Linked DNA regions of Cricetulus griseus. The protein of the gene in region 1 purifies or fractionates together with the protein of each later gene. This does not show direct contact. Links are inferred from orthologs where the notes say so. Each region holds a gene or a part of one and is shown on either strand. Other genes may lie near its edges. The genes, in order: Stx7, Napg, Stx6, Snap29, Pttg1ip, Vamp3 and Stx8.

Region 1 (4,127 bases):
TCCTTGACAAAGAATGATTTTTAAAATTACAACAATTTTGAAAAACAGAAACTGGAATTTCCTCCGTATCATGAAAAACATATAATGTCACTATATTGGGCTAATATTTCTAATAGTTCACAGTGGGGACTACGGGTATAGCTCTGTGGTGGATCATGTTTCCAAAATTTGAGGCCTTGGGTTTGGTTTCTAGCACCTGAAAACAAAACCTCAAACAACCTGGGCAAATGACACAGGCCTCTAGTTCCAGCTGCTCAGAAGGACAAGGCAGGGTTGAAAGTCCAAGGCCTGACTGTGCTATAGAGTGAGATCAAGATTAGTTTGGGCAGCCTATGAAGATCCTGTTTCACAAACAAAAGGCTGGGGATACAGGACACAGTTAAGGCCTTTGTTTTCCGTGTGCAGGGTCCTTGGTTCAATCTTCAGTACCTGACAAAATAAAGCAAACTCAAAAGTTCACAGTGGCTCTAGCTGAATCACATTGCTTTCACTGGGTGTTTGTCCTTTGACCAGGGTACTCACTTCACTGTGTGGATCCTGCTTGGAAGACGAGCGCATCAGTCTGACCTAAATCATCTATGTATGCTTGCATGTGTAAAACCAACCAACGTACTTTTCTCTGTGGTTCTGGTTCGAAGTATTCTGGATTCCCTTCAACTCTCTCTCTCTCTCTCTCTCTCTCTCTCTCTCTCTCTCTCTCTCTCTCTCTCTTGTGTACTTTGGTATCACATGTTTTCATGCTCTTTTCAGAAAATAACACCGTCTTAATTTTGCAAAGAATGTCTTTCACCCGAGCCACTGATGCTCATTGTTGGAACATTCTGTGCTCTTAAAGCCTGGGAAAACTGCTTCCTGTATTTCGAGGATGCGAGGACGATCGTGAGCTAAGAAAACATCTTTACCAAGTGAGCACCCAGAGGCGATTCTTCATTTGTTCTTTCGTGGATTCAGCCAGAATTGCCTTGACCTTGTGTGTGTGTGTGTGTGTGTGTGTGTGTGTGTGTGTGTGTGTGTGTGTGTGTGTGTGTGTGTGTGTGTGTCATTTTAAAATGAGGTTGTTAATAAAGTCGACTGCAGAGTTGAGGGTTAGGAAACAGGACTGGCAGGAGCTGATGGGGTATGAGTCCAGGGAGCATGGCGCCACCGAGTGAAGAAGACAGCTCTCCTGTATCCCTTCTTCTCTTGCACGTAGACATTCACCATCAGTGTGTCAGGCTTCAAGGCATTGCTCCGTAGCAATTTTGCTAGTCCCTTCAAGCTTTAGCTGTTATTGGCCAATGGGAGAGAAGCGAACCCCGCCTCCTTCTTCCCTGGGCTGTACCCCGAGCATGCGCAGTGGGCGGGCTTGCACCACCGCCCATCAGCTGAAGCTAGCTGCGGAGGGCTGTGGGCCCCTGGGTGACAGCGGCTGCAGGAGAAGGAGAAGGAGAAGGAGAAGGAAGCCGATGGGGTTAGGGTAAGAGGAGGCTGCAGAGCCGGGGGGTCCGGGAGGGGCGCCCCAGAAGCTCAGCCCGCGGTGGCTGTGTTTGGGAGCCGGCAGAGTCGGGCTCCCCGGGGGCGCGGGGCCGGCGAGAAGAGGCGCCCACGCCCCGCCGCGGACTCGGGGACGCGACGAGCTTGCACTCCCGGGCGGGTGCGCGGCAGGGAACCCCGGCTGCCTGTCAGCCTTGGGCGCCGATCCCATCGCCAGCTCCTCATTCTCTGTCAACTTCCCTTCCAGAACAGAAAAGTCAGAGCCCTGGGCCCTGGTCATCTGGCCACAGGTTATTTCTGCGGCCCCTTGAGTTTGCTGTGCTGCTGGCGGTGACTTCCACAAGCTAACTTTCTTTGACCTTAATTGTGCATGGCTTTAACTGATTTACCCCCAAGACCCTTAACAAAAGTATTTCAAGAATTCGCATCTGTGTTTTTTAGGTTAAGTTCAGAACAACAACAACAACAACAAAGCTTGGGTAAGGGTGGAGAGGGAGATAGCCTCCTAGTCAAATGCTAATTTTCCCTTCAGATTTTGTAATATGCTTGGATTTTATATACCTCTCTCTGTCTCGGATTTTATCTCTCTCTCTCTCTCACACACACACACACACACTTCAGATCTTGTATTCTGGCAATAATTGTCATTTATAGGTGGTCCACAATCAGGAAAAAAGAAAAAAAAAAAAAGGAAGTAACCGCGAAACACTGTTCGATTTGGTCCTGTTGGATATAGGCTTTTTTTTTTTTTTTTTTTTTTTTTTTTTTTTTTATGTGCACTCTGAGCTGCACTGGGCAGAGACTGATAAAACTGTTAAATTGTGTCTTGTCATGTGAAAGCCTTTGGCTTTGCCGCTTCCGAAGTTGGCCCCAGGCTTGTGACTAGTTAAGAATTAGACTGTAGTTTCCCAGTGTCTGGGGAAGTTAATGTGACACTGTATTAACTCGTCTGCGTCGTTTTTCCTTCAGGTAGTTTACTTCTTATATTCTTCCTGATTAGCAGTCATTTCTAATTTTGATTATGAGCCCAAGTTCGTCCAAGTGCTGCTGGTTGGAAATTATTAACGATCACGATTATTAGCTATACATAGTTCAGTGGTGGAGTGCTTGCTTAGTGTGCACGAGACCCTGGTTCAGTTCTCAGCATTGCAAAATATTATTGCTGTGTCTACTATTATTATTAGACGGAACACCTACAGTTAAGTCTGAGTGGATTTTGCTGTGGTTCAGTGTAACTTGAAATACTAATGGGTAAAACCATGGTGGGAAATCCTTGGTAAAGTAAGTTAAATCCAAATAGTGTAACATAATAGTTTAACTGATGAAGGAGCTGGGCTGAAGTGTGCTTTGGTAGCTTGTGGAACGGATGGAAGGTGGAGGCCCTCACTTCCATTGATTATGTCCGATGATTGTTCCCTCTCTTGTTTGTGTTAGGGACTGAAAATAAGCATTGTGGATCTTTGGGTCTTTTAAGTACTATAAATGGTTTGAAGCAGAAGGTACATTGACAGAGAGCAATAGCAGTGACTTCTCATTTCACCTCTGGCGTTTCTAGCATGTGATAACAGCTTGCTGAGAAAAGGAGCTGGTGCTCACGTGAGCACCGTGGGGGGGGGCCTTCTAGAGATAGGAAAATGGCACCCAGAAAAGCCAAAGCAGCAATACACCTGTCATTTAGTGTTTTAGAAATGTTAATATTTTCTCTCAGGCTGGGTATGTGTTCTTAGGAAATTGGTAAACCTGTTCATTCCCACTACAAACATTGATTCCTGACCTATTTTGTAGCCATGTACTAGAGAATAGAACAGGTCCACAATTTACACTCCACCTAGTACAGCACTAGACACACAAATAAAAACCGTGGGAGACAAGGGAGAAGGAAGTCCAGTGTATTACCATGGTGTGCACGATTAAGAAAGTGAAACTGACCATTTGTTTTGAGCAGGCTGAATTTCACACCAGTTTATACTTAGTGGAAGTCTTAAGGATTCAGCAGTATCTCCAGGGCAGTAGTTTACATTCAATATTCTGTAGCAAAAATTTCTCTGTTCATTTCTTTTTTGTTCTTTAGACACAGTCTTAAGACAGATCTCATTGTGGGCGTTGCACTTTGATCTCCGGTCTCCTCTTTCACCTTATAGTGCTTATATATCTTCATAAAAAGATAATTACTAAGATGTTGAGTTGAACGCTGTCCAGTAGAACTTTCTGGGGCGATAGAAATGAATATGTGAGCTGTCCAAGCTGCTGGCCACTGGCCGCATATAATTTCTGAGCACTTGAAAGGTGACTTGGGTGGCTGCCATGTAACTTAATTCACTTTAATAGTCCATGTCAATGGTAGCTACTCTACCGGCAGCGCAGGTACAGGTGATGAGTTATATAATTATTTTTTGCAAAGGCACTAGGAATTCCAAATGGGTTTATAAAAAGAATACTTTAGTGTCTCGCAGTTCAAGCTAGGTACTGGGGATGGTTACAGAGCACAAACATTGTATAAACATAGAATTAATTAGCTTAGTTGTAAAAGTCATAAACTTTTAAGTCATTTATCGATAACTATGTACTTGTATGTTTTTTTAATAGCAAAGATAGCATTGTCCCTCTTATTTGTATTTTATCAGAAGGGCCAACTCTTGTCTTTTGAATGTCGT
Region 2 (3,500 bases), about 67 Mb from region 1:
GACTAAAGTTGAGAATCAAAACAACAGACACAGCAGAAAGTACATCATCTCATGGAAACTGAACAACTTGGGGTCAAAGCAGAAATCAACAAGAAAATTAAAAAGAAATTAAAAAGAAAAAACTTTTAAGGATTGAATGAAAATGAAAACAGAACATATCCAAACCTCTAGACCACAATGAAGGCAATTCTAAGAGGCAAGTTCATACCTACATCAAAAAACTAAAGATCTCATATTAGTAACTCAATGACACACCTGTCAGCTCCACACAAAAAAAAGAAGAAAAAGAAGAAGAAGAAGAAGAAGAAGAAGAAGAAGAAGAAGAAGAAGAAGAAGAAGAAGAAATAAAACCCAAGGAGTAGACAGAAGAAAAAATAAAACTCAAGGCTGAAATTCATGAAACAGAAACAACAACAATAAAAATACTAATAAAAAGAATAAATGAAAGGAAGAGTTGGTTCTTGGAGAAAAAGCAACAAGATTGACAAAACATTAGTCAAATTAACTAAAAGAAAGAGAGAAGATCCAAATGAACAAAATTAGACATGAAAAGAGCAACTTTACAACAGAAACTAAGGAAATTCAGAGAAACATGAGGATATACTTCAAAAATTTCTAATATACTAAACTGTAAAACCTAAAAGAAATGGATGAATGTCTTGGTACATGTGACCTAAGTGAAGTCAAGATGATACAAGCAACTGAAGAGACCCATAACCCCTCGTAATATAGAAGCAGTAAATAAGAAATCTAACCAAACATATCCTAGGCCTTGTTGTATTCAGCAAAGAATTCTATCAGACCATCAAAGAATTAATGCCAATATGTTTCAATTTATTCCACAAAATAGAAACTGAAGAAAATTTCTCAATTCTTTTTATAAGGCCACTATATAGTCCAATACCTATTATGAATACAGATGTAAATGTTCTCAATAAAATACTTGCAAACCAAATCCAAGAACATATGAAAAGATTATCTACTATGATAAAATTGGCTTCATTCCAAAAAAGCAGGCTCAACATACATAAATTGATAAATATTATCTACTGTATTAATCAAACTGAAAGGCAAGGACCATATGACCACCTCATTAGATAAAGAAAAGGCCTTCAACAAAACCCACCACCCCTTCCATGATAAAAGTACGAGAGAGTGGGGATATGAGGGGCATAACCTCAACATAATACAGACAATTTAGAGCAAGTCCATGGCTAACACCAACTAAAATGGAGAGAATTCAACACATTTCCACTAAAGTTGGGAACAAGACAAGGTTGCCCACTCTCTCCATACATATTCAATACAGTAATTACAGTCTTAGCTAGGGCAATAAGACAAAGGAGGAGATCAAGGGGATACAAACAGGGAAGGAAGAAATCAAATATATTTATTTGCAGATGATTTTTGTACATAAAAGACCCCAAAAACTCCACCTAGAAACTTCTACAGCAGATAAACAATTTCTAACACATAAAAATCAATAGCCTTCTTATATGCAAATGACAAATATACTGAGCAAGAAGTAAGGGAAACAGTACCTTTCACAACAAACATACACACACACACACACACACACGCACACACACATGTGTGCGGAATACCTTGGGGTAACTCCAACCAAGGAAATGAAAGACCTTCCTTAAGCTATTGAGGAAAGAAACTGAAGACACCAGAAGATGGAAAGACCTCCCATGCTCTTGTATCAGTAAGATTAATATTGTAAAAACAGCCACTCTACTAAAAGAAATCTATAAATTCAATGAAACCCCCATCAAAATCCTAACACAATTCTTCACAGAAATTGAAAAAACCATCTTTAACTTCACATGGAAACACAAAAAAACACAGGATAACTAAGGCAATCCCATTTAATGATAAAACTCAAGTATCTTGGGTATTTAGGATGCTTTTGTCACTTATTCCAAGAGAAAAACATAAAGCAGAGTGCAATGGCAGATCAAGATAACTCTTCTTCCATTGTACTGAACTACTGTTAGGCAACAAAAGCACGATACATTTTGGAATTTTATGATAGAAAAACAGGTTTTCATTCCATGTGCCTACTCTTTAGAAATTGACCATGTTTCCATTGTTTGTCTAGGTGTAGATAAACTAGATCCAACCAAGGTTATGTATAAGTCTGAAATGTAGATTCAAAATGCACATGATGTATGGGCATACAGTTTTGAAAGCCATACCTTCGTCCTCGTACTAGCAGTCTGGAGGCCTTTCCTAGAAGTTCAACTGCCTGCCGGAGGCGTTCCTCATTCTGGAGGAATCAAAGAAAAGGGAGTGTCGGCAGGGTTAATGTGGAACTCTTCTTACCCTTCCATAACAACTGCATAAAGCAATGCCATGGATGGTAGCACCAAAGCTGCTAGCCCATTCACTAACCTCTAGAAGAAAAAAGGAATAGAGTTGGGCTGTGGACACAGAAAAACCTTAAAAAGAATCCACTGTATTTTTCTTTTCCTATATATTATGAATGAAAATATTATGAGTAATTAAAGAAACAAATAAAATTCTAACTTACTTCAAACACATTAGCTGTCTGCTGATACAACTGTACAGCCTTTTCTGGATCTACATTTTCTATGAGCCTGAATTAGACAGAGAAGACAACTTGTGAGAATTAAGAAACTTGCTTCTTAAAGAACTTTTCAAGACAAAGGAGTCCTCTGCAAAGCCAGGGCATCCCACAACAGCTGTGTGTACTTACTTTCCAGCTCGCTCCAAGGCCATAGCTGCTGTATCTGGGGTGCCATTCTCCAGGTACATCATGCTGGCTTTCTCGATCAGCTGGACGGCCTCAGGCAGTTTCTGCATCTCCTTCAGGAAACGCATGCAGCATGGGGCAGAAAATGTCTCAACTTAAGAAGTGGAGTTTTAACAATTCAATTATTTTACCTACACATGTTACGTTTTGACACACACACACAGTAGTATAGAGTAGGTACCATCTGAGATCTAGGTCTAAAAATCAACAACAAAAAGCCCAACATATGATAGGTGCTTGTAATCTCAGTTCTGGAGAAGTAGATCTACTTCTGGAGAAGTATATCTACAGGTGCATGCCAGGAACTACCAATCAGCCAGTTTAGCATAATTAGTGAGCAGCAAGCCAGAGACCTTGTCTCAATAAACAAGGTAGGTAGCTGAAGACATCCAAGGTTGAGCTCTGGCTTGTGTACACACACACACACACACACACACACACACACACACACACACACACCCCATCTCACTACAACTGGATAGTAATCTGCTATTAAGAAGTACAAATGTGGCATATTGGTCAAAATAGTCCATTATTTCATTAAAAAGGAGTAAGATAAGTGGCAATAGCTAGTTTGGAACTCTCTTTTCCAGCCTGACTTTTAGAAAACCAAAAAATTATAAAGCTAATTTTTCTTTCCATAACCTACAAGTAATTTAACAAAACAAACAAACATCCTTGTAAAACTTTACTACATGCAGAAGCCTTCCACTTCTCAGAT
Region 3 (3,500 bases), on another chromosome or scaffold:
TCTTGCTAAAGCTGAAACAGGCATGCCACTCAATCTTCAGGCAAGGACAGCCACAGCCAAGGTTCTGCCCAACAGAAAGACCATGCAGGTCACAAATGGCACTTTGCATTTTCTGGCAGCTGTGCTTTTAAAGGGGTTTACACTGAGCCAAGATCTCTCACGCAGTCCAGGCTGGTCTCAAACTGACAAGGGTGATCCTGAACTTCTGATCTCCTGCTTCTACTCTGCAAATGTGTGAATCACCACACCTGGCCAATAAACTGCTGGGCGCTGACTTCAGGGTTTAGTGCACACTAGTCAAGCACTACACAAACCGGGCTACATCCTCAGCCTCTGAAATTCATTTTTAACAATGTTCAAACTGTAGCATTCACTTTCCACTCGCAGCACATCTTGGCTCAGTCTGGCCACATTCCACATGCTCGGTAGCTACACGAAGTGGGTGGCTAGTCTCCTGCATGGCGCATGTATCTATCAGCTCAAGGCCCATATCTCTTCTCTCTTTTTACCAGATACACGAACACCCACTTTAAATAGGAAACAGGCCCACAGGGATTTTATGCTAAACTATTTTATGCTAAAGAACAGTTCTTTCTGTTCTCATCACTTCAGCTGCTTCTGGTGCTTTCTCCCCTTGTGAAGTAGCATGCTTGTGTCTTACAATGCTGGCTTTTGTCCGCAGACTTCACTTGAGGGTATGGCACTGTTAGAGTAGGGTTCAGCCCTCGTCCTCGCCATTCCAACCCTGACTCCTTCTCACTTCTCTCTTTGATACACTTGTGCCACAATTGGATTAGATCAATATTCACCATTAACATGAAGTCACCTAAGTGCAGGCTAGTCACAGCTGAGGGGTTTGTGGTGGGACGCACACCGCTTCTTGCTCACTCCCCACTGGCTCAGGGGTCAGCTTCCTTTGGCCTATTGAATCCACAACCTGCTGCCTGCCTGCTGTCCATCATCTAAATTGGTATAACTGATGTATCCTGTTATATGTTCTCCAGAGGTTTTATATCATTGCAAAAAAAAAAAAAAAAAAAAAACCAAAACCAAAAACAAAAAACAAACAAAAAACATTTCTGTTACTGCTGTGGTGACTTTGAAGGGAATGGAGCTACAGACTGTCGTCACTTCAGTATCTTTAACTAGCTGTATCTCTCAGGTTGTCTTCATTCTCAAGCTGCCTCACCAACAAAGTGGCTCGAGCCCCTTCCGTTTTAATTAGAAACTAACCTGTGCATTTGGGTTCCTGTTACTCTAGATTCCCATCTGGCACACCACCCTGGCTCCACTCTGCTATAACATCCCAGTCCCTGCTCGTGCCATCACTCCAAACTCCACCTTCCTGCCCTCCCACCACACTGAAAAGTCAAAGTCCTGCTTTCTCATCACACTGACAAGGCCCTTCCTGCTGTCCTCTGACTCTCCATCAGGTCCTCAGCTCCCCTCTCCCCATGCTAGACACTCAATACCTTGTTCTGTGCACACCTGCACCTCTGAACCTTCCTCGGCACACCTGCTGACATCTCTGCAGGCACCGGCTCTCACGCAACCACCTTCCTTCCAAACATTCCACAGCTTCCAGCTGATCCTCTTTCTTGGAAAAGATGGGGCTCTCCAGTCAGCCAACTAGCCTATCATAGTGATAGTGGCTCTGTCCCCACTGCCACCATGGGACTACTTCCTTCATTTGTACTATATGTGCTGTACCTGGGAATGGCAAACGTTCTGAATGGCAGGCAGAGTCTATTCTGCTCACTCCTGTACCCCTGAGCTTTCCAGACAGCCTGGTGCAGAACAAGGGCCCAGGAGGAACTGATAGTGAGCATGTGTAACAGTGAACATTAGCAGTGGGTACTTTCTGAGACCTCTTAGTAGATACCCCACCCACCCAGGGGGGAAAAAGTAGAATGATATATGGCAGTGTTCAAGAAAGATATCTTTGTTTATCATACTTTTAGAGTGTAAAAGACAAGGTTCTTAAGCAAAAACAATTTTTAAGAGTTATGTTTTGTTTAGCTTTTTTCTTTGTTTTGAGGGGAAGATTGTTTTCCCTAGTTAAAATCAAATTTAAATGTTTTTTATAAGATTATAATGGGGAGCAGGAGAAGGGAAGGGAGAGGGAACTGGAGTTGGTATGTAAAATGAAAAATACATTTTTAATTAAAAAAAGATTATAATTTATGTTTAATGTAGTAGGGTGTCCTGCGATGACAGCTGAGAGTCCTATGCCACCTTCACATGGCTTCTTCATGCCTATTTTCCCCTTTGGAGCACTGTCTCCAGAGTCTACAGCTCTGTCTGTACGCCTAAAGAATCTACTAAGAGAGCCAGGTGGTGGTAGCACACCCCTTTAATCCCAGCACTCAGGAGACAGAGGCAGGAAGCTCTTGTGAGTTCAAGGCCAGCCTGGTCTACAGAGTGAGTTCCAGGACAGCCAGAACTACACAGAGAAACTGTCTCAAACAAACAAACAAACAAACAAGAATCTGCTGAAAGAAATTTGTCTGGCTTTTAAATGGTTTTTAAAGTAACAGCTTTGCCTAAACTACCATTGTGACTTTTATCTGGTAGATTTGCTTCTTTAGGGGAGATAATTTGGGCAACAAAGTAAAAACTGTAACTGTAAATTACGTTGCTTTTTCTCTTTACCAGCCATGTAAATTCATGGTTAGGATTTCAGGGTCTCATGGGATGGCTTTCCCCCCTCATCCTCACTGCAGATAAGGGCATCTCACTACTCACACTGCCTGTTCCTCCAGCTCCCCTCCGATGCGCTGGGACATGTTCTTCAGCACCCCAATGCTGCCAGAGACCAGCTCCAACTGCTCATCCTGCTGTTCCACAATCAACTGGTGCCAGGGAAACGGAAATAAGCAATTAAAATCCATCTTACCTGGTTCCAAGCCCAGCACTCCAGCAGCTGCTAGTTTCTTTGCCAGCTTGGGACAATTCACTTTCAAAAGCAAAGCCCAGAATCAAAGAACCAGACCATTGCCTCTGAGAACACACTGCTCCAAAGACTGGATTGTCAAGCTACCCATATTGCCTGCTGATCCAACTTGTGAACAGTCAGCAGGGCTTGAAACCACCAAGAGAGATAGATTTACTCTGCTTGGCTGAGGTCCAATAAGGGAACAGATAATGGCCAAAAGCACACAGGCATATGACCACCACATCACGGGTTGGTTAGGAAGAGGAAGCCCACTGCCAAGATCAAGGTTTCAGTCCACAACACATTGCCACAGCAACACTGAAAGAGAGCCTAGCAAATCTCTGGATGTGGGAGGATTGCACAGTGTCCGTCTCCTCTTCTTCAAGGACAATAATTTACCTCAATGACAACTGCTGGCTGACAAAGACAGACTTTCAATTGTGCCTGCTCGACTTACTCTCTATTAAAAATGTTGCTTCATTGTAACATTTTGAGAGCAAACAACTCGGTTGCCTAACATGATAATGCAAATAGAACAAAATAACATAATGTCTACATATATACA
Region 4 (3,500 bases), on another chromosome or scaffold:
CTTGGTGACCTAGAGCCAGTCAAAAAAACCTGTCCCCACCAGAGATGGCAAGTATGAGATGACAGTAGGTGGGGAAGAAGAGTTCATCCAATTTCCATACACTGCAGGTGTCATGTCCAACAGTTCTAGTCTGAGTCCTTCTACTGAAATACAGGACAAGAACTGAGGACAGGAGGGGAGAGTAATGAAGGCAACACATTCCTTTTCTGGGTCTAACAGGGGTCCTTTTCAGGGGGAGAAAGCTACAATGTGCTCAGTGTATGTGCAGGCATATCGATAATGATTGACATACAAAGATGTGGAAGGACCCTTCCTTCTGCCAAAACCCAGGGTCACTTTACATGAATTCACAGTAAGGCCTTGGAGTGAGAAACAGCGAGTAAATAGAAGGCAATAGTTAGGAGACTGACTGACATCCTGCCCACATCTTTGCATATACTTGTGAAAGAAAGAAATGCACGGTTTTCTTCTTCCTGCACAGTATCAAAAGCTCAAGGCATTCACAATTAGTCTGCCCAGAACTTTAGAGGTGTTGATCTTACCCAAATGTGTACACACACATTTTTTTCCCCATTGAAACTAAAATTTCTTAAGACCCACATTTGAACACATATGTTAAATTACATACTGTACAATCAATGACATTTCTTAGGAGTTTAAAAGAGGCTTTGAATCTTTTCATCACAATGGAGTAGAATTCCTTTTCAGTTTCTTTAGAGCTGCCGAACTTTTTTTTCTGTGCTTTTTATATTGACATCTAACTTGTCCACTTTGGTTGTTAGCCGGTCAAGAATGTCATCCTGCTCCTCAATTTCCGTCTGCATTCCTAAGGCTATGTCCTTGAGTCGGCCCAATCCCATGGACAGCTCATCTGTGAGAAGGAAGTGATAGGCAGTTACAGTGTCTGCAGGGGCTTCTTGCCCCTCTGGATGCTCAGTGGTATCTGGACTGCAGAGTCCTGTCTAAAACCGAGTGCCACAGCCTGTAGCATATGACTCAAAAAACATGGAAGTGAAGAGAAATCTACTTACTACATAGTAATATGTGGTTAGTGTAGGTAGAAGCCACTGTCTACCTCCTCCCTCCAGATAACCAGGGTTAACATGTTTGTTTGTTTGTTTGTTTTAGCATAGTCTTGATAGATAGCTCTGGCTGGCCTGAAAGTTACAATGCAATCCAGGCTGGCCTTGAAGTCAGAGTGATCTCCCTGCTTCTGCTGCCTGAGAAGACTTAGGGTCTCTACCACGTACAGCATTGCTCCCCTAAGTGCTGGAGAATCAAACTTAGGGCCTTGCATGTGCTAGGGAAACACTCCAACACTGAGTCACACCTCCAGCCTCTTTATATTTGTCATGTTGAGACAGGATCTCACAAACTTTCAGGCTGGCCCTGGATTTGCAACCCTATCTTAATCACAGGTACCTGGGATGACAGGTGTTTGCCTGGCATACTATGCTTCTTGAGATCTTTGAAACATGTGACCTTACGTTTCCTGTAAAGTAAAAGTTTAGTGGTCACTCACCCAGGCTTCAAGAAAGCTTCTTGGGTTTGAGACAGTAAGGACAGGAAAAAAGGCTGAGATAGACCAGCCTGGTGGGCTGTGGGACATGCCTCTGTGGATATGAGCACTTGCTGGGCAAGCATGAGATCTGAGTTCAGCTCCTTCGCACTCACATCAGCCGTGTGGCTTTATCCTGGATGCTCTTAAGCCCCAGGGATGCTTAGGTCTGGTCAGGAGTCAAGAAAGTAGTGAGGATGGCTTGGCTACAGTGACAGCAGGAAATGGGGAGAAGTGGACAGATTCCTGACAGTGAGGCAGTACTGGGCGCCCTGGCTGTGCTCAGCATCAACTGTCTGGAGGCTGCTGTAGCTCCCAAACTTACCTAGGTTGTTGTCGATCTTTTGATGATAGGCTCGAAGACTTGAGTTCTTTGGGTAAACCTCAGCAGTCACAGCAGAAGCAGGCCCTTTGGGGGTTGGGTCTAGTTCAGAAAGAAACACCAGAGGGACAGTTCACTGACGGTCACTGCTCCATGAAATTGGCCTATTCTTTTCTGAAGTCCTAGGAAACTGTCCCCAGTAATCACTCATACCAGGAAGGAACTAAAGGGGTGGGAGGAAGGAGGTAGCTGCCTCTGAGGCCATGCAGAGGGACAGGAGCGGGAATGGGACAGGGGTTATAGGCTGGAGAAGTCAAGTCTGAGCTCTGGCTGGTCCTTCAACATTAGCAGATTAAGGACTCTCAATTTACAAGTCAACAGGTGAGATACGGAAAGAGACATGACAATACAACAGGGAACTGTCAATGCAAAGCTGCAGGCTCACAGGCAAGCAAGCTCTGGAAGACAGGTTGGTTTTTTGTTTGTTTGTTTTAATGCTTAAGATTGGAACCAGGGCTTTGTGCATGCTAGACAAGTTCTCTCTACTGTAAATCCCGTGAACTCCAAGCTTACCTCAAACTCTTGTACTCAAGCTATTCCTGCAATATTTGTGACTACAGGTGCATACTACTACACCAGGCAGAGCTGGCAGAGACAGCTTTAAAAATCAAAGTTGTTGTGTGCCCGTCTATAATCTAGCAGATAGAGCAAGAATATCAGAATTTTAAGGTCATCATCTACTAATGAATTTGAAGCCAGACCGGGCTAAATGAGACTCAGTCTCAAAAGAAACAAAACCACATCAAACCATATAAAACATGAAAAAAGCAAAGATGAAAATCATTGCCTGGTGTGGTGGTTTGCAGCTGAAATCTCAGCACTTGGCAGGCTAAGGCAGCAGGATCATGAATTCAAAGCCAGCCTGGGCTACACAGTAAACAATCTCAAAGAGACTAAAGGAAATGAAGTTATGCTACAAAACTGAGCTTACTATTTTTGTTTTTGCTGGGCCGTGGTGGAGCACACCTTTAATCCCAGCACGCCAAAGGCAGAGGCAGGAGGATCTCTGAGCTTGGTCTACATAGTTCCAGGACAGCCAGGACTACACAGAGAAATCCTGTCTCAAAAAAAAAAAAAAAACCAAAACAAACAAACAAAAAACAACAACAACAACAAAAAAAAACAAAAACAAAAACAAAGAAAGAAATTCTATTTCTAAACATATACAGAAATAACCTCTGTCCTCTTTTGAGAGTCTTGTGTAGCTCAGGCTGGCCTTGAATTTGGTATGTAAGTATGTAGTTGAGGTGGCCCTGAACTACTGATCCTTCTGCCTTCATCCCGAGTGCTGGAATTACAGTTTTGTGCTACCACACCTAGCCTCTCCTTTTCTTTTCTTATCTTTTGAGACAGGGTTTTCCACTGTGTTCCAGTATGGATTTGAACTCATGGTAATGTTTTGCCTCAGTCTCCCAAGTGACTAAAACGCCTAGTATGTTTGTTTGCTTGTTTTTGGTTTTCTGATAGCCTGGCTATATAATCTAGGCTGGCCTCAAACTCAAACTTACAATTTCCCTGCCTTAGCTTCCCAAGTACTGGGACTACCTGGACCCAATATGA
Region 5 (4,118 bases), on another chromosome or scaffold:
TCCAGATCTCTATGTCCAGAACCGAAAGAACTGAGCTCCAAGAAACACATCCTGAGTTCTGGCCACCCTGGGCCTCTCTACCACTAGGAAATCTAAATCCCCAGAGGCCAGCCCCCCTCCTCCTCCACAGGCCAACTTTAGTGTGGATCCTGTATATCAGAAAGCATGAGTGGCAGGCATCCTGGCTGCAGTAACTCCCAGACTCATGTGACAAGGCAGGAAACACTGACAACTTGCTGCCCCACAGCTCACATTTCAGGAGGCCACACACAGTATCTCTTACCCCACCACCCCATCACGGGACACAGCCAACCACACACTGGAGATAAGAACAATGTCCTCGCAGTTCCTCAGTGCTGATCTTCAACACCCTGACTCTGAGGCATTATGAATTAAGAGCTCAGTGTAGGTGCTATTTACTCATTTTTTTAAAAGATTTTATTTATTTATTATGTATACAACACTCTGCCTCCATGCATGCCTGCAGGCCAGAAGAGGGCACCAGATATCATAACGGATGGTTGTGAGCCACCATGTGGTTGCTGGGAATTGAACTCAGGACCTCCGGAAGAGCAGCCAGTGCTCTTAACCTCTGAGCCATCTCTCCAGCCCTATTTACTCATTTTTAAAAGAACTTTCAGACTCATTCCCTTTAATAATTAAATGGAAAGATAATAAATATGACTCATTTCTGAGTGGGTCCCTGACGTTTCAGGTGAGTCAACAGAAGGCATCCAGGACAAAGGGACACACCTACACATGTGGGAAGGGGGTGACTTTGAAAACTAAGGAAACAAACATTATTTATTATAAACCTATGATACTGAAGGCCTCATGCTGCTGTCTTCTGTGCACCGCCCCGCCCCATAAATGTGGAAGGGCTTAGTGCCTACTCCAGTGACAGAACTCAAAAGAGCACCTCTACTGTCATATCAGGAGAGTTACGCTTAGACAAAGTAGTCCCGGCCACCTCGATATTTGAGGAGAAAAGCAGAGGAGGAGCAGGGCACCACAAAAGGGATGCATGCAGCAGCATCCAGTACAGTTCACTGGGGGGGGGAGGGGGGGACGACGACAGGAGATTGCTCTGCAAACTGCATTGTTCAGTAAGGACTCACCACCTGGTGACCACCAGCAGCCAGCATTGTGCCCGAGTAGTCCTGTGGAGGATGACAACTGCAGTCCTTCTAGGGACTGTTTTCCCCAAGACGAAGCTCTGAGACAGTGACTCCACACACCATTAGGAAGGGTACAAAAGCCCTACCAAAGTGCCCTCAACTTCAGGAATTTCACTCTCAGGCCCTTTAGCCCATTACAGGTTCAGATGTCAACCCACCCACGAAGCACACACCCACAAAAATATATATATATATATATTAAAAGGTGAGTTTTGCCAGACCTGGTGTTGCACACCTTTAATCTCAGCACTTGGGAGGCACAGGCAAGCAAATACTGAGTTCAAGGCCAGCCTGGCCTATTGAGACCCTGTCTCAAACAATAACAAAAAGGGGAGTTTGGGGCCACTGTGATGTATTCTTTAAATTTATGCAGTATCCTTAAAAGACATATTGTTTTAAACATCAGTCATCTTCCTACAGAATGTCAGCTAGTAGAAATCTCACAACCAGCATGTTCTGTGGTAAGACATGGAGGATGTGGGCGCTGTCCTCATTAGAGCATCCCACCAATGTGCAGACACCCCTGAGCCACTGGGAAGGGGTCCTGTGTCTCTACAGGCTCTCCAACATTCTGCCTGGGGAATCTGACCCCAAGTCCCCTGGAGTCATCTGAGAGGAGGGAATCTCAACAGGAAAAATGCCTCCCTAAGAGTGCACTGTAGGAGGCAGGACTGTAGCGCGTTTTCTTAATTAGTGATTGGTGGAGGAGAGCCCAGCTCGTTGTGGGGGTGTCATCCGTGGGGAGGTGGCCCTGGGTTCTGTAAGAAAGCAGGCTGAGCAAGCCTTGAGGCGCAAGTCAGAGGAGATAACTGGGGTGCAGCAGTCGCAGACCCTAGGCAGACCTGAGAGCAGATAAGAAACTTAAACAGAGCTGCGACAACACACAAAAGGTCACAAAGAGAAAACACACCGTGCCAGGCTAGAGTATAAAGACACCATGAGAGAGACCGAGCTAACATGGTTTGGAAAAATACTCTCTTTCTAGCTGGGCCTCATCAGCCCTCGCTGCAAAGGTCAGGAAGCTGGCCAAGCCAACCCTCAGCTTCAGGCCTTGACACAACCTGCCAGCTCCCCGATTTCCCCCGAAAGAAACAGTACCGGGCTAGAGTCAGGCATTTTGCAAGACTTCGCTCGGCTCCTCATCGTGGCGGCCCCCAGCATCTGATACAGGCAGGAAAGCAGATGCTCGCCAGTGGAACCCCGAATCAGCCGGCTGCTAAGCAGGTGCCAAGGCACCGGTTCCGACTGGGCCTGTGTGTCGTGCCTCGGGGCACGACGTAACTCCGGGAGCGGCCGCCACGCCCGCAGCTCCAAGGGAGGGCGTGAGCGCAGAGGAGGCGAAGCCCGCTGGGCTGGGCTCCGCCCTGGATCCGACCCAGCCGCCCTCCTCCGGGACCCCCGGGCCTTACCCATTGCCGGAGGCTCCTGCGCGGAGGCCATGGGCAGAAGCAGCAGCAGTGCGGCGCCGAGGAGCATCAGCCAGCGCGGCGTCAGCCCGAGAGCAGCAGACGCCATGGTGCGTCGGTGGCGTCCGCGGCCAGCACCTCCGAAGACTCAACCCGGACGCTGAGCTAAGACGTTTGCACCGCCAAGCGCCGAGGCTCCGTGGGCAAACCCGAGGGGCGGGGGGACTGCGAGTGCGCAGCCGCAGGCTCCGGCTCGCCCCGCCCCCTCGCCCTACGCCCCGCCTCCGGGCGCCGCTGAGGCTTCGTGCGCCTGCGCACTGTGGGAAGGGCCGCGAGGGCGGTCTAACGGGAGCCTCAGAGCAGCGCGCGTGCTCAGTAGACTACAAGGCTGGGCTCGCTGGGGCGCTTGCGTAGCAAGGGAGCTGCTGGACTCTCAGGCCGGGTGTGAGGCTCGGCAGCTCGGCTTGCTCCGCATAGGTCCGTTGGGGACAGTAAGAGACCCGGGACCCCGAGGGGCTCTGAGACATGGGACCGCAGAGCGGCGCGGAGCGAGCCGGTGGCCTCAAGTGCAGCCAAGCTCCTTGAGTAGGGCCGCTGGCAGCATCGATTGTGGGTTGCTCCTGCTCCGTAGCCCACCCTACCCTCGACAACCCTGCCCGACCCCCCAGAAGGGCCTCTCCCGGTCCTGTGGATTCTCTCTCAGAGCCGCGTGGGTGTTCACAGGGCACGTTAAGACGGCATCCACGCTGCCTCGAACCTGTTACGGAATGCGGTTCAAGTCCCTAAGAGAGCTGAGGAGGTAGCTTGCTTAGATGGTAAATTGCTTGCCTAGCAACCGATGCACAAGGCCTCCGAGTTCCATCCTCAGAACCTCACAAACCAGTCGTGATGGCGCACACCTGTCACCCCAGCACTTGGGAGGCGGGGGTCAAGAAAGTCAGAAGTTCAAGGTCTTCCTCAGCCGGTCAGACCCTGGCTCAAAGAGAACAAAACGATCCTGATTCACGATGGTTGGAGAATCGAACTTAGACATAGAGGAGCTTTTAGTGAGAGGGTACTTTTCTTTGCATGAACCGGGGACCAAGGCTGAGGGACACCAAAGGTCAATGCGAAACAGTGGCTCCCAAGTGCTTTGACTCACTAAAGACCTGGGCAGTTGTCGAACCTAGCAAAATAGGATACAAGCTCGAGACTGCTAGTTTTCTGTCAACTTGACACAAGCTAGAGTCATCTGAGAGGAGGGAATCTCAACAGGAAAAATGCCTCCTTAAGAGTGCACTGTGGGAGGCAGGACTGTAGCGTGTTTTCTTAATTAGTGATTGGGGGAGGGCCCAGCTCGTTGTGGAGGGGTGTCATCCGTGGGCAGGTGGCCCTGGGTTCTATAAGAAAGCAGGCTGAGCAAGCCATGAGGAGCAAGTCAGTAAGCAGCACCCCTCCATGGCCTCTGCATCAGCTGCTGTCTCCAGGTTCCTGCCCTGTGTGAGTTCTTTTCCTGACTGCTTTTGATAATGGACTGTTATATGGAACTATGAAT
Region 6 (4,281 bases), about 240 Mb from region 1:
AGATAAGTAAGGATCTTACTGTGAATTCACCTTTTCTCGTGTACCCTGGGTACTCCTAAGTTCCCTGTTTAAGCTCAAGGATGACCTTGAACCTCTGACCGTTTACCTACAACTTCCAAATGCTGAGATTATGGGTGCCAACAGGCTGGGGTTGTTTGTTTGTTTGCTAGTTTGTTCTTTCCAGACAAGGTTTCTCTGTGTAACAGCTCTGGCTGTTCTGAAACTCAATCTGTAGACCAGGCTGGCAGGGAACTCGCCGAGATACACCTCAGGCTGGGTTTTATGTGGTTCTGGGGATCAAACCCAGGACTTTCATGTGGGACAAGCCCAATACCAACTAGGCTATACTCCTCAGCTCTACCGAGTAGTTGTTTTTCGTTTTTTTTTGTTTTAAGCCCTTTTCCGGCTTAGCTCACTTAGGTCTCCCTTCTAGGTACTTTATCATTATTCCGGTCCTCTTCTCTGCAGAGTTCTGCTCGTCTCTCTAGGAGTGCCTCACTAGATGTACCTCAGAACTAGTGCCAGACGTTTTCACACTGAGTCTCCCAAGAGGAGTCCCTGGTACTTTCTGGAGCCCGCTGCATTTAAATGCCTTTGTCTTGCCTGTCTTCACTCTTGTTGTACTTGAGCCCAGCCCCACATTCTCTAGTTCTGTGCTGCACCTCCACTTAACCTAGAACGCGCCCCCCACCCCCCGGCCCCAGCTACCACTCAACCCAATACCCACTCAGGTGGCACGCTCTGCTTTCCAGCACACGTTAACTTTCTGGAATTACCATCCTGGAGTGGAAGACAGCTTGGGGGTTTTCACTTAGGAACCCACCAGCTGCCCTCATCTGGTCTGCTTAAGCATGTTGGATTGCATTGTAGCGGATACTACTCACCTCATTCGACCAAAAGTCCGGGGCCAGAGAGTTACAGAAACCAAGAGAGTTCTCAACGTCAAGGATCCCTTCAGGGATGGTGGTATCCGTGCAACGGCAGACACCTGTCACCGCTAGTGAGAACACGGGGGTGGGGGCTCCAAACGGGCTTCCTCCCGCCCCTTACTTACCTTCCTGGCGGAGGCACTTGGGTTGTGTCCCCAGGACCACTAGGCTACTCTGGGGCGTTAGCACGCACGCCGTTTCTAATGTCGTCACCACCCAGAGACGACGTAAGCAGGCCCAGAGGGCTGTGCAGCGCACCGGTTCTTACTCTAACCTGCCTTTCCAGGGTAGAGACAGGGCAGCGGCCGCGACACCCGACACCGACGAAGCTGCTGCTGCTGCTGCTGCTGCTGCGACGCCCGGGCGGCGAGGAGCCGGTCCAAAGGCGCAGGCGCCGCGCCCTGGCCCCGCCCACTTGTCCATCGAGAACGCCCGCCCAATCCAGCACCGGCGCTGCTGCCGCGCCCAGCTCTGGCCCCGCCCACTCGGGTGGGCCAGGGAGGAGACGGCCAGAGCGCGGCGCCTGGGGCCTGACTCCTGCCCCGCCCACTTCCGGCGCGCCCTCCGCGGCGGCGGGCTCCTCGTCGGTTCCTGCCCGGCCCCTGCTCGTGACGTCACCGCGGCCCCGCCCATCTCCACGGCCTCGGCCGCCGGCTGCCCCAGTCCGCCGCCGGTCTCCGCCGGTCTCCGCCGTCTCCGCCGGTCTCCGCCAGTCTCCACCGCCGCCGCCGCCGCCGCCGCCAAAATGTGAGTGACGCGCTGCGCCGCGCGGCCAGGCGGGCTCCGGGGGGCGGCGGCCGCCACGTCTGACGAGGGTCCCGCCCGGGACGCGGCCGCTCGGGACTCGCACTCGGGTGGAGGCCTCGCGGGCCTGCGCGCAGCGCCCTGGGCCTGAGGTGGGCGGCGGCCCCGCGCCGCGCTCTGCCCTCGGGCGCCGCGCTCTGCCCTCGGGCGCTGCGGGCCCAGGCGTCCTGCCGCGACGTCCCCGAGTGCTCCGCGGCTGGCGGGCCGACGCGGAAGGGCGAGGGTGGGGCACCGGCTTCCAGAGGAAGCGTCCGCCACGCCCCGAGCTTCCTTCCCCGAGGTCCCCGAGAGGGGCGGGGGCGGCCCTGGGCGCTCGCCCGCCGGCTCGCCCGCTCGCTCTCCCGGTCTCTGTCGGCGCCGCGCCGTGCCCAGGCCCAGGCGGTGTCCGCGGAAGCGCTGCCGCGCCCCCCGCGGAGCTCGGCCGTGGGTTTCGCTTCCGCCTTAAGCAAGGAACTCTGTTGTTTTGAAGTTGGTGTCTAGTGGTGACGTTCGCAGGACTCTGGTGACACCGCTTAAGATGCACCCGGTCGGACTGCTGTGCGAATGGCAGGGCCCCAGAGCCGGTCAGAGAATTAAGCTGCACCTGGCTACACCCCAGCCGGCTGGCTGCGTGCTGGTTCTGAATGTTACCGAGGTGAAGGTAATAGTGCCCTCTTCAAGGGGGTGTTCGGACTCAGAGAGAAGCCAGACAGCCGTGAGAAGTGTCGCGTCCTGCTGACAGACACGGTGCAGACTGTCGTGTGGCGAGGCACACCTTAGGTGCTGGCTTAGATACAGGGAAGAGTGAGTCGTTACGGAAAGTGGGCATGGGTGAATAAAGCATTCGGTGAGCCTGTGGAGGATGAATGGCTTTCCAGCAGAGAGAGAATTGCTTTCAGCCCGCCTTTCCATTCACACACACCCCACCATGCACTTGGGCTCTACATCTCCATTTTGGCTATTTTGTGATTGTTTCCAACTATAAGACAGTTCTTGCCACAACAAAAGGATCAGAAGAATACTGAGTGCCCTTAAACGTTTGTGTGTCTTTTAAGAGGTTTTTGGTTTTTTGGGTTTTGTTTTTATTACATAAATACAGTTACCTGCATGTGCCCCTGCAGGCCACAAGAGGGCACCAGATCTCACTACAGATGGTTGTGAGCTGCCTTGTGGTGGCTGGGAATTGAACTCAGGTCCTCTGGAAGGACAGCCAGTGTGCTTAACCTCTGAGTCATCTCTGCAGGCCCTAAAGCAAGCTGAAAGAGAGAGAGAGAGAGAGAGAGAGAGAGAGAGAGAGAGAGAGAGAGAGAGAGAGAGAGAGAGAGAGAGAGAGAGAGAGAGAGAGAGAGAGAGAAAGTAGAGGTATTATCCAGTCTTGGGATCATGCACTTCATTGACACAACAAAAGTTTCAAAGTTTGGTCACTGGAACAGTCTTGGGAATTATTGAGGGATCATAAAAAAACTGCATTGGTGCCTTTATTTCTTACTGCAGGACTGTTTTTACTTTTGTTTTTTAATTTCAGTATAAGGAATTAGTAAGTCCAAGTCCCAGCGTGAACAGGTTATACACACACACATACACACACACACACCATGGTATATGTTCGAGGACAGTTTCAGAGATCCTTGCCTCTCACCTTATTTGAGACAGTGTCTCTTGTTCAGTACTGTGTGTGTCAGGCTAGCTGGCCCTCAAGTGCCCAAAACTGTCATGTCTCCTCTCACTGAAGGAGCACTGGGGTTACATATTTGCCTTACCAAGTCTGGCTTATGTAAGTGCATTGGATATCATAATAGACTCATGTTTGTGCCTTACATCTTTCAGGTCCACAGGTGTGCCTTCAGGAAGTTCAAGTGCTGCTGCTGGCAGTAATCGAAGACTCCAGCAGACACAAAATCAAGTCGATGAGGTACTGCTCTAAAATTCTAAACTGTGGAATTTAAACAAACCCGGGTATTCTGTGGGATTCTATCAGAAAAAGCCACTGGAGCTGGAGAGATGACTCAGTGGTTAGAACACTTTCTGTTCTAGCAGAGGCTCCAGTTTGGGTTCCAAGTACATACTTGGGCCATTCAACTGCCTTTAACTCTGGCCTCCAAAGGCACCTGTGTGCATCTGTGCGTGCGCACACACAAACCCTTAACAATTTTTAATGTTAGAAAAAGAAAAAACATCAATGTGTGAGTATAATTTTGACTACATCAGAAGTCTTTCTAATTGTGTGTTTAGAGGACTTCAGTGAAGATTCTGTGAGAAATTCAGATCAGTTTTCCATATTTTTTTCATATTCTTTTTTTTAAGCTTTTTTTTTATATGAATGAGTGTTTTGATTGCATGTTCTAGAAGCTGTGTTTTAAGCACAAGGCAAACTCTTCCTGGTTTCACTTTTCTATTATCAAATCACATACCTAAAACATGTGAACCTGTCCCTGAAAGCATGTCCCCAGAGCCCCAGAGCCACTTCGTAAGATAGGGTAATCAGATTGTTTAAGCCAGGAACAAGTCTTTCTGATCGGGTGGGATATGTGTCTGTGTCTGTGTTCTGTAGCCAGGTTTACTAGTTACC
Region 7 (3,988 bases), on another chromosome or scaffold:
GGCAGAGTTCTGTGAGTTCAAGGCCAGCCTGGTCTACACACACACACACACACACACACACAGAGAGAGAGAGAGAGAGAGAGAGAGAGAGAGAGAGAGAGAGAGAGAGAGAGAGAGAGAAGAAAAGAAAATGTTGTGCCAGGTTCAAGGAGTCCCATACCAATCCCAGGAGTAGACACTGATGCAAAAGCAAAAGGTTTGTTTTTATTGTTCAAGCTGGCCAGCTTGGATCTCACTCCATGGTGGGGAAATGAGACGCCAACAAGCCAAAGAGAGAAGCTTTTAAAGGAGCAGACCGTAAGGTTGAAGTAACTTAACGAAACGTCTCAAACTTTTTTAAAAAGTGAATAAAGGCATAGCTCAGTGCACGAGACTCAATCACCAGCATCAGAAAGAAGAAAAGTGTTTAACTTGGGCTGGGGATGTGGCTCCAGGTCCTACAGAGAGAACTTTGTTGTGAACTTCACAAGCACTTCAGAGACAGTGTCACCCCTAACCCTAGACTCACATATACATCAATATGCATCATTCAGTATATTCAGGTATAGGTATGTGTATGAAAAAGAGCAGGTGGTTAATATATATTATATATGTTTTTTTGGGGGGGGTGTTGGAGGCAGGATTTCTTTGTGGCTTTGGAGGCTGTCCTGGAACTAGCTCTTGTAGACTAGGCTGGTCTCAAACTCACACAGATCTGCCTGCCTCTGCCTCCTGAGTGCTGGGATATAAGGTGTTTGCCACCACCACCTGGCTTATATATAAAATTTTTTAAAAAGAGAGGCAATAAGGAAAATAGTCCTAGCCCCGGATTCCCCACATTTTACTTGTTTGCCTTCACACTATCAGCTATGAAGACAGGAGCTTAGTCTTGCTCTGTAAGGGCAGATCAAACATATAAAATCCATAACACAATTCCATCAAATACGAGACCTAAATTAAGTACCTCTGGAGTTAGGATGGGAGACATTACTGATGTCAGAGGTGCTCAGATTGGCTGGGCTGCAAGAGGACATCTTGGGCTGACTTCCAGACTAAAGCAGATTTCCATACTGGAAGGAGGGGTGAAATCTAAACACCATGGAAAGCACAAGCACAGAAGAATTGAAGAAAGCATGCCTGACCAAGTACTGGCCCTGTTAGCAGGGTACATTTAAATAGGACAGATTAGCAGAGGTCAGTTTCTACAGAACTTGGCACAGTAGTCTAATGAGATCTGACTCAGGGGAATTTTACCCCAAGACACTGAAGCATTAGAACTCTTTTACTGTTAGTCTCAATTGTTTTACTCAGTGGCTTTCTCATTTGACAGTTGAAAGCTTTCTTGTGTTGCTGGTGACCAAACTCAAAGCCTTGCATGTAGTAAGTTCTACCACTGAGAAAAACTGAAATATATGAACATTCAGATGATGTACTGATATGCATGTAAAAATCATTTTTAAATACTACTTAATGATATGGAGACACGCTTCCTGTTGTGTAAAATACAAGCAGGATATAGATTCAAACAATAAAAGTCTTCAAAAGAAGTTAACATTGGTTCTTTCCAAATGATGAAGATGCTATTTATTTTCTTTCCTGCAGATACTCAGTAGTCTCCAAATTTTCTACCAGGGGTGTACACAATTGTTGAAACTTGTGTGTGGGGGGGAGTAAGAAGTGTTAAATTCAGCAATTTCCTGGGCATGGTGGCTGCATGTAATCGAACCACTTAGACTGAAGCAAGAGGATCAGGAATTTAAGGTCAGACTGGGCTCTCTGAGACAATGGAAACAAAGCACACAAACAAATGAAAGCCCAAGAAAATTTCAGCAACTAGCCCAAATATCTCAAATCCCAGGTAACTCTAACTCTGACCTTGGGATCCACTCTCCTAATACTTAAAATTGTCTGCCATCAAACAATTATAAACTGTACCAGAAACACCCACATAAGGCATATCCTCCAACAAGAACTTTATAGAAATACAATGTTATAAATTATTAAACAGGAAGGTCAAGACTGTATAGCAATGTGTTCCTTGTGTGAACACATTTTCTTCATTCTTTCCTTGGGGCTTCATTGCTGAATAAATGGCCCTTATCGGGTGCTGACTTTTGCACTAGTTCTTGCTGACGTTAAGTCTTCATGATACTGACACAGGAAAGGGTAAACTGCCTATCACAAGTGCAAACTTCCCTCCCAGATTGCTACAAGTCTTATTGTGAAGAGCCCATTACACCTATGCCCAGCTAACTACTAACTGGCTGGGGACCATGGAGTCTGAACCTCAGTTTCTTCCCTTTCTGGGGATTAATGGGTGAAGGCAGAGACATCCCACCAAAAGGTTATTTCTACTTCACTTTTACAGGACCCCAGGGGAGTCTACACACGCAGTCATCCACAGGCAGGTTAGGCGAGAAGCCCCCACAGAAGGCGGGGGAAAATATCGATTCTGCTCAAGTCCCAGCTCCCCCAGGTCACGGTGTCCCCCTCCGACCACCGAGTTAGCGCCGGGGAGGCGGGATGTGGTTGGGTCCCCAAAACAGGGAAAGGATCCTCACCCGCTTTGCTCACCCCTAAAAGCTGACAGCCTCAAGTTCAACGATGGCCAGGGTTTATGCGAATCCCTGGGAGCCACTTCCACCCCAAGTCCTACGGCAAACTACTGCCAACACCAGCAACTCACCAGGGGTCCGGGGCCATGGTGCAGTCTCCGCCTGCAGCTGGGACACTTCCTGCTCACAGCAGCTGACTACGGCGGCCCGCGCGGCTCATTCCCCGCAGTTCGGAAGGTGCGCGACCCGAGCCCAGCGGACAGCACAGAAAACATATTTTAGGGGCCTCAAAACCACACCAACCAAAGCTCACCCCTGGGAGACAGTGGATTGCAACAATCGATTTTTAGTTAATTCGTACGAACTGCTGGACGCAAGGAAAATGGTTAAATTGTTGAGCAGAATCAAAACCTTTTCCCAGGGATGGAAGCGCTTCAGACTCCGGCTCTCGTAGTTCTTCGCATTTTTTTTTTTTCTTTTTTTCTGATTCAAAAACAACAGAGCAAGCCGGCTGTGATACCTCGCGCCTGAATTTGCCGTGCTTGGAAGGTTGAAGCCGGAAATATTCATACAAGCAACGTTCATAGTGATACATACATGAAAATAGTTGCATACTGTACTTAAATTTTTAAAGTGATCTTTTCAAAAAGAATTCTTTTACAAGGAGGTATCAATTCCGTGTTTTGTTTTGTTTTGTTTTTTAATAGCAGCCTACGCATCAGAGGCAATTCTCTGTGTTCAATTACTTTTAATAGTTACCATAAGAGGCTTAATTTTATAGTTAAGACAAAAGTCAGAGTTTACACGGGAGACGAGGGAATTCATTCTGCATATTCAGTATTCACCTAACACCTAAATTTCTAGAATGAGTGAAAAAAATAATAAGGAAGCCCTCCCTACATTTACAAAAAGGTAAATAAAGTCGAACTCAGTGGGCTGGATTTCTGCTCCAGCGTAAACCTAGCACGCATGCGTGCGCCAGTTACCATAACGACCAAAAGACGCTGCAGCCAGGAGTTGAGGAATCAATGAGTTGAAATTCTCCAAGATGGAAGAACAAAATTTACCCGAAACCGAGACCGACGTAGCCGAACTGGAGCTTGAGGCTGTGATCGGCTTCAATGGTGAGGCCTGGAGCATCCATAATACCCCAGGGACAAGTGAGACACTGACTTGGTGGCACCTGAGAGGCCGTGGGGACAGTGGCAAGAGCCTAGCCAGGCATCACCCACGGTGATGAAGGATCTTAGCCTCATTCCCGAGCCTCAGAAATTGGAATGTGCCTAACTCAGTCTCTCTCTCTCTCTCTCTCTCTCTCTCTCTCTCTCTCTCTCTCTCTCTCTCTCTCTCTCTCTCTCTCTCTCTCATACGCGCACACACACGCACCCCTGGGAGCAGTCCTTGGCTCTGAATATTCCCCCAACCCCCACCCCCATGCATCCCCGGGTAACACC

Evidence for each region.
Region 2: the proteins of Stx7 (region 1) and Napg purify together in Homo sapiens (affinity purification with mass spectrometry; 3 studies listed by BioGRID and IntAct, counting the BioPlex papers as one, with this or other methods). This does not show direct contact. The link is inferred for Cricetulus griseus from reciprocal best matches to the Homo sapiens genes STX7 and NAPG.
Region 3: the proteins of Stx7 (region 1) and Stx6 purify together in Homo sapiens (affinity purification with mass spectrometry; 3 studies listed by BioGRID and IntAct, counting the BioPlex papers as one, with this or other methods). This does not show direct contact. The link is inferred for Cricetulus griseus from reciprocal best matches to the Homo sapiens genes STX7 and STX6.
Region 4: the proteins of Stx7 (region 1) and Snap29 purify together in Homo sapiens (affinity purification with mass spectrometry; 3 studies listed by BioGRID and IntAct, counting the BioPlex papers as one, with this or other methods). This does not show direct contact. The link is inferred for Cricetulus griseus from reciprocal best matches to the Homo sapiens genes STX7 and SNAP29.
Region 5: the proteins of Stx7 (region 1) and Pttg1ip purify together in Homo sapiens (affinity purification with mass spectrometry; 3 studies listed by BioGRID and IntAct, counting the BioPlex papers as one, with this or other methods). This does not show direct contact. The link is inferred for Cricetulus griseus from reciprocal best matches to the Homo sapiens genes STX7 and PTTG1IP.
Region 6: the proteins of Stx7 (region 1) and Vamp3 purify together in Homo sapiens (affinity purification with mass spectrometry; 3 studies listed by BioGRID and IntAct, counting the BioPlex papers as one, with this or other methods). This does not show direct contact. The link is inferred for Cricetulus griseus from reciprocal best matches to the Homo sapiens genes STX7 and VAMP3.
Region 7: the proteins of Stx7 (region 1) and Stx8 purify together in Homo sapiens (affinity purification with mass spectrometry; 5 studies listed by BioGRID and IntAct, counting the BioPlex papers as one, with this or other methods). This does not show direct contact. The link is inferred for Cricetulus griseus from reciprocal best matches to the Homo sapiens genes STX7 and STX8.

The regions. Positions count from the first base shown.
Region 1 is NC_048595.1:243,359,526-243,363,652, forward strand, and holds the start of Stx7 (syntaxin-7), read left to right. Parts: upstream 1-1,327; 5' UTR 1,328-1,456; intron 1,457-4,127. UniProt on the Homo sapiens protein: May be involved in protein trafficking from the plasma membrane to the early endosome (EE) as well as in homotypic fusion of endocytic organelles. Mediates the endocytic trafficking from early endosomes to late endosomes and lysosomes.
Region 2 is NC_048595.1:176,130,171-176,133,670, forward strand, and holds part of Napg (gamma-soluble NSF attachment protein), read right to left. Parts: intron 2,833-3,500; coding exon 2,723-2,832; intron 2,604-2,722; coding exon 2,537-2,603; intron 2,273-2,536; coding exon 2,202-2,272; intron 1-2,201. UniProt on the Homo sapiens protein: Required for vesicular transport between the endoplasmic reticulum and the Golgi apparatus.
Region 3 is NC_048598.1:36,560,652-36,564,151, forward strand, and holds part of Stx6 (syntaxin-6), read right to left. Parts: intron 2,853-3,500; coding exon 2,746-2,852; intron 1-2,745. UniProt on the Homo sapiens protein: SNARE promoting movement of transport vesicles to target membranes. Targets endosomes to the trans-Golgi network, and may therefore function in retrograde trafficking.
Region 4 is NC_048597.1:71,888,233-71,891,732, forward strand, and holds part of Snap29 (synaptosomal-associated protein 29), read right to left. Parts: intron 1,983-3,500; coding exon 1,884-1,982; intron 872-1,883; coding exon 714-871; 3' UTR 1-713. UniProt on the Homo sapiens protein: SNAREs, soluble N-ethylmaleimide-sensitive factor-attachment protein receptors, are essential proteins for fusion of cellular membranes.
Region 5 is NW_023276806.1:261,236,639-261,240,756, forward strand, and holds the start of Pttg1ip (pituitary tumor-transforming gene 1 protein-interacting protein), read right to left. Parts: upstream 2,801-4,118; 5' UTR 2,694-2,800; coding exon 2,588-2,693; intron 1-2,587. UniProt on the Homo sapiens protein: May facilitate PTTG1 nuclear translocation.
Region 6 is NC_048595.1:5,346,201-5,350,481, forward strand, and holds the start of Vamp3 (vesicle-associated membrane protein 3), read left to right. Parts: upstream 1-1,481; 5' UTR 1,482-1,674; coding exon 1,675-1,676; intron 1,677-3,539; coding exon 3,540-3,624; intron 3,625-4,281. UniProt on the Homo sapiens protein: SNARE involved in vesicular transport from the late endosomes to the trans-Golgi network.
Region 7 is NC_048600.1:81,830,839-81,834,826, reverse strand, and holds the start of Stx8 (syntaxin-8), read right to left. Parts: upstream 2,801-3,988; 5' UTR 2,683-2,800; coding exon 2,666-2,682; intron 1-2,665. Other genes in the region: Cfap52 (cilia- and flagella-associated protein 52), read left to right, coding at 3,583-3,658. UniProt on the Homo sapiens protein: Vesicle trafficking protein that functions in the early secretory pathway, possibly by mediating retrograde transport from cis-Golgi membranes to the ER.